2 linked regions of the Xenopus tropicalis genome follow. The protein of the gene in region 1 purifies or fractionates together with the protein of each later gene. This does not show direct contact. Links are inferred from orthologs where the notes say so. Each region holds a gene or a part of one and is shown in the gene's direction. Other genes may lie near its edges.

Region 1 (2,727 bases):
GAAAACCAGTTAATTTGGGGTTATGGGATACAGCCGGACAGGAGGACTACGACAGATTACGTCCATTGTCTTACCCTCAAACGGTAAATGCCTGATTCGTTACCCCTTGCATTAAAGCCAGCATTATCGCTTATACTTATTCAGCAATGACCAGCATCCTTTGGGCGCCAATGTAAAACCTTCTCAGGACCTCCTGCTGTGCAAGATTGTAATTAAACTTACACCCTGCTCTTCTGGACTTCCTGCATTATTTTTTAGCTGCACTATTCCATTTTCACCATATAAGTCCTGATTTAAAATTATTTAAAGTTTACATTTTGCCAGTTGTCACAATGTCCATGTACACTCACAGGATGCCATGGATACTGTATCTAGCTCTGCACAAATGCTGTAATGTGTACAGTATCTTCCATAGCAAACCTGTTTGTACGTGTATTGTCTTGTGTTTGTATCCACTCCCCTTCCCCTGTCCAACCTGTGGGAGATTATGGTGCTTATGTAATTTACCATATCTGTATGTGTGTTTACTGCAATGAAAGCAGAGGTTTTAAGCTTGGCCATGCATGCACCTATACAGTTGTAGAAAATTGAGTATTTTATGGTTCTCTGTGTGTGTATGGCATACAATTAATATGCCAGCTCGCTATATCTGTTAGTCTATGGGGTATCAATAAATGAAGTGAAGAGGATCCACGGCTCCACTTCTCCTCCTGTAGTTCTGATCATGTATGCAGATAAATAGAAATTTGGATATTCCATGTACAGCCCCGTTGTTTCCTGTCTGGCCAATTAGCCAGTGGGCGGATGAATCAGGTAGCATCACGCAGTGTTTGGCTGCCTTTCCTTTATAATTTTGTTGTGCCCTGTATGAATATAGCGGAATTTCTTATTAAGGCATCCGTTGTTATTGGGGCTGCATGATCTGCTCAAACCACTCTGTGGGGAACCAGTATGCCTGAGAATCTGGCTAGAGATTAGCAGCCAGAACAGATAAGCTGTTCCAGTTATTATGGTTTTGACTCACTGTATTAGTCTCATGACTTGCAACACACCTGAAGGATGCTGACCTGCCCTATAAAGCTATGGGATAGGGCTGTTGAGAAGTGTGTTATTTTCAGGTGCGGCGTACACAACAGACATAGCTTTCGACTGCTGCATGTAAATAGTGTTTACAAACAAGATAATCTCATTGCATATTCTGTGTATGAAAATCCATTTTTTTCATACAGTATTCAGAAATGTACAGAAAATAAGCCTTGTAGATTCAAATCTGCATTTGAACTTAAATATTTTCTGTTAGGCCCTTAGCCCAAGCCCCAAAGCCTCCAATGTGTCGGTGAGTTTTTCTCCCCTTTCGCTAGCTGAGTGGGTGGCAATGCAAACCACCTTCTGTTGGTGTGGGCTGTAATTGGAACAGAGCTTGTTTCCCTTGCATGTGGCGCACAATTAATGCTTTAATGTCACCTTGATCTCAAATTATACCCTGATCGGGGGTAACACAGAAAAATAACAGGAAGTGATTTTATTTTTATGTTCTATTTACTCCTGTTTATTCTTTCTTGTTAATATATTGTAGCTTGCGCTTATTTTGTATGTGTCTCTTGTCATGCAGTCAGAGGGCCAACTTGAATTTTTACAGTGGTTTATTTTGTTTTCTTTTTTAGGATGTGTTCTTAATTTGCTTTTCACTGGTTAGCCCAGCCTCATTCGAAAATGTTCGTGCTAAGGTAAGAGCTGCGTCCTGAAATGCTGCGTATTAATATGACATGAACTGGTGAAGGAGGGGTGTTTGGGCAGTGACATAAAGCCACAGGGGCTGCTGCCATTCATTAATATTACCAGTGCACTGACCTACATACAGATTGTCCAAAACAAAGACTGGTGTACTGGGGCTGTCTTTTGTTACTTTCTAAATTATAGTCTTAGTGCCATGGGGTTGTGTTGGTTTAGACCAGGGCTGTCCAACTGGAGACCCATGGGCCAGATTTGGAGCTCCAAAAGATTTTTATGTCCCCCAGACCGCTCAGAGGCTCCATAATCATTTTAATTTAATCTGAACCTGTATGAGATATTACATGTAGTAGGCCTAGAATATCTCATACAGCAATAATAATAATAATAATAAGTTACAGCTATCATGCCAGAGTGATTAAATGGACAAGCCATATGAAATGATGTAGAGTATAAAGGACAGGTTGCTGCAAACTGCTTTAGGGGGTGGCCTGACTGTAGGGACAGTGTAGCCCGGGCCAACAACCCCCTCACCTGGTGCAGTAACTGTGGCTCCTTCATTCTCACCCGCATTTACATTTTGTGCGGTGGTGATCAAGGGCTGGGTATGTATAGCTACACCCTTTGTTCTGTAGAATTGTTCTTTTTGTTTAACACTTGGGTTCTCACATAACATAACGGCACTAACCTTTCTGTAAAGGAAACTGAAGCCCTTTACTGTTCTGGTGCTTATGTAAATGTTTGTCTTCTGCCCAGTGGTACCCAGAAGTGCGACACCATTGTCCCAACACTCCCATTATCCTTGTGGGCACCAAACTTGATCTGAGAGATGATAAAGACACTATTGAGAAGCTGAAAGAAAAGAAGCTCACACCAATTACCTACCCTCAGGGACTCGCCATGGCTAAAGAGATTGGTAAGAACTGTTTATCGGCATTGGTGTTGGGTTGTGTTTTTTTTTTTTTTTTTGGAGGAGATCATTTCCTTCTCTTACAA
Region 2 (3,500 bases), about 37 Mb from region 1:
ATAACAATAAAATAGAGAACTTTTGCAATCATTGTATATTGCAAAGTTACTTAGAATTATTGTAATTTTAATACACTGTAGTGAGTTTTTTTCACATTTGGAAATAACATTTGACAGAGCATTCATTTTTTTTTTCTAGTTGGATTTATTTTGTGCCATGGAATACTCAACACTGATGCTACAGCATTGAATCTTTGGAAGCTCGCCCTTCAGAGCAGTTCATGTCTCTGTCTTTACAGAGATGAAGTTTTTCATATCCACAAGGCAGCAGAAGATCTGTTCGTCAACATTAGAGGGTACTTGTGATGTAGCCTAGATATTCTTCTCCTTTGGTCAGCTAGAATAAAATGTCAGCTGCTTTTTATATGAATTTATATTAATTCTTTATAGTGTGTTGTAATATTTTTTTTCCTTCTATGAAATAACAAGACAAATCCTTGCAGTTGGTTTTAAGGATGTAATGTAATAAAAGGCACTAAGTTTGCCCAGCAGTAGTAACCCATAGCAACCAATCAACAGGTAGCATTTACTGATGGCCTGTTTAAAAACAAACATCTGGTTGCTATGGGTTACTGCTTCTGGGCAAACATAGCACCTTTTATTACATAGGGGGGTAAGTGTCCTGGCACACTTGCCATTTTGATCACGGCTACTTGTTGTGGTGAGCGAAACACTACTACTTTATTTGAAAATCTTTAAACAAGTTTAATGCACCAGAATGTCTTTCAAAGGTTTGTAACTACTTCAGTGTTACCTAGACCTTGCTGGGGGATTCATTGCATGAAAGATGAAATTTTCAAGCTTCAGTTTAATTTTTTAAAATTTTAAACAGGTGCAGAATAATAGTGGTAGCATCGTGCCAAAGCACTGCTTCTTGTTAAAAGGAAGAATGGAGGTTCTACATACAGGAACCTGTTTTCTGTTTGAAACACCATAATAAAACTATAGTAATTCTGAGTTTTTGTGCTTGAAATTTAAATATTAAAAGGCAACATTTTTGTGCAATATATATTGCTCCGTAAAATACTGTTTCAATATGCTTTATATCCAGCCATATTTTCAAAGTTAAATCTCAGCTGTTACAAGATGGATGTATATGCTATGTTTATTAAACCCACCCAAGGAGAAGATAGATGACATAAAAACAAATGAAAATTGTACTTGCAGTTGTATAATATGAAGCACTCACCTTGGATCTAAAGACAAGGAGTAGTAGCCAGTTGTTTGCAGAAATCCAGGGAGCTGTTTAAAATACATCCAGTTATGAACAGCACTAACAATTAATCAACATTAATTCACATAATTGGCACAGACCAGGATAGCAATGTTTCAGGTCTACATTGACGCTTTGTCAAGCTAACAAAGGGTCAATGTAGACCTGAAACATTGCTATCCTGTTCTGTGCCAATTATGTGAATTAATGTTGATTAATTTTGTTAGTGCTGTTCATAATTGGATAACTTGGTCTTGTGAGGTGAACACAGAGGAATGTGTACCCAGAGAAAGATTGGAATCCAGTTTGGTGCAGACTACAGTGTTTGTTTAAAATACATAAAATATATTTTACCGTGTGGTGTAAAGGTTCATGAAAAATTAGGGACACTTCTAAGGGCCAAGAACACAGGGTGATTAGTCACTGCGGCTAAAAAAAACAAAAAAAAAAAACTCTGTAGCGGCGACTAATTGCAGCTATTTTAACTGCTATAGATTAATATACGAGTCAACGCAACTAATCGTTCATAGTTTACGGTGTGGTTAATAGTCACTGCAACTTTTTCAAGGTTTTTTTTTTTCTTTTAATTGCCACGTGTGTCTTTGTCCTAATATATGCATGGTTCTGGGCTGCGATTGCAAAACTATTGGAGTAATCTTCTTGAATTGTGCCTTATTTAGACCCCACATTAGAGTTTACCTATTCTGATACTCTAATGTGGGGTCTAAATCTTTGGCAAGGTCACCAAATTAGTGGATCTTTCTCAGATATCCCCACCTCGAGGTGCCAAAACCTTTAGATCACATTGACCGGATACAGGCATCTGAAGCGAGGACCGCATAATCCAGCTTATGTGCCCCTCACCCTGACCTGCAATTTTTAAACCTGCTTGATCGACATCTGGCTATTTTCACCGAGATATCACTGGATATCTGGGCCTATTGATGGGCTTCATACACAGGCTGATAAGCTGCCAACACTGTTCGTATGCAACTTTTATCAGCCTGTGTATGGCCGCTAAGTACAAGTTTTGAGTGGTACAAGTGTTGTGTTAGGCTGTAGATTCTATGGGAATCTCTACAATACTGAAAATAGTCAAGTAATTTTCATTTACAGCAGACATTATTTGTTAATATGCAGCTGCAATTTTTATTTTGTATCCTTTTTCTTTTGCTGCAACTGACAATATATTTTATGCTCTTACAAACAGATATTTTTAAAAAATGTGAAATATGGCATACAACATATGTACACATTTAAGCCTTAAAACAAGTTAATGCAGTAAGATTTTCCTCTAAATAGACTTTTTCTATAAAATATCTACTTTTTTTTTTTTATTCCAGCTACAACAAAAGGATAAATGACATCAGGGAGTGTAAAGAGAATGCAGTATCACATGCGTAAGTAATATTTCTTTACTACTGTTATGTATCCTTGTGTAGACATAGGTCTGCCTTCATGAATTTTTTGTGTGTGCGCAAATTCATAGTGTTAATTACTCATTAAGTATGTTTTATGTTAACTTAATTATCAAATATAATACTTTTTGTGTAGCTTTCTCTTAGGCATCAGAAGTCTATTCTTTATATACAAATCTCTTTTGGTATAGTCCAGTGAAAAGACATATAAATAAATAAAACTGTTCTAATGATGTTGGACCCCACCTTAATATTTTCTAGTGATAGTTTGTGCAGTGACAGGCTGAGTATGTTTATAGGAACAGCTATAAAGCCTAAAGGATTAGGAGTGGAAAATTGTACAGAAGTGCAATTTGTCTTCTAGCGTAAAGAGCGGTTCTTTAAATGTTTATGAGGCAGTCAGCACAAGGTCAATGCTGGAGCAAAAAATCTAGGGAAGGCGAATAACTAATGGAATTGTAGTTGAATTTTTTACATTTATTCCTAGGAAGTCATAGTAAGGGTGTAGTTGAACAGCAGGTGATCATTGTTTAGTGACGTGGTCACTTCTGGCTGCAACAGCAATAGCCCTCCATTCTTATAAAAATATTTAATTTTTTTCTGTTTTTTCTTTTTCTCTTTTAAGAGGAGCAACACACAGAGAAAGGCGCAAATTTTTAAGGTCTGCTTTGAAAGAACTTGCTACTGTACTCGCTGATCAGCCAGGCCTTCTGGGTCCCAAAGTAAGTCAAATGACTGGGGAAGTTATGAGGATTTTATGTACATTAAGGATAATGTCACACAAGGAAATTTGTTAGACTGCAATTCAACTAATGGAGCTCTCTCCAATCTCATGCCATTGTGCACTACTATAGTCAAAGCATAGGTTA

What was found.
Region 2: the proteins of rac1 (region 1) and nckap1 purify together in Homo sapiens (pull-down; 4 studies listed by BioGRID and IntAct, with this or other methods). This does not show direct contact. The link is inferred for Xenopus tropicalis from reciprocal best matches to the Homo sapiens genes RAC1 and NCKAP1.

Annotation. Positions count from the first base shown.
Region 1 is NC_030685.2:25,468,543-25,471,269, forward strand, and holds part of rac1 (ras-related C3 botulinum toxin substrate 1), read left to right. Parts: coding exon 1-83; intron 84-1,664; coding exon 1,665-1,727; intron 1,728-2,487; coding exon 2,488-2,647; intron 2,648-2,727. UniProt on the Homo sapiens protein: Plasma membrane-associated small GTPase which cycles between active GTP-bound and inactive GDP-bound states.
Region 2 is NC_030685.2:62,003,957-62,007,456, forward strand, and holds part of nckap1 (nck-associated protein 1), read left to right. Parts: intron 1-139; coding exon 140-296; intron 297-2,556; coding exon 2,557-2,613; intron 2,614-3,256; coding exon 3,257-3,353; intron 3,354-3,500. UniProt on the Homo sapiens protein: Part of the WAVE complex that regulates lamellipodia formation. The WAVE complex regulates actin filament reorganization via its interaction with the Arp2/3 complex. Actin remodeling activity is regulated by RAC1.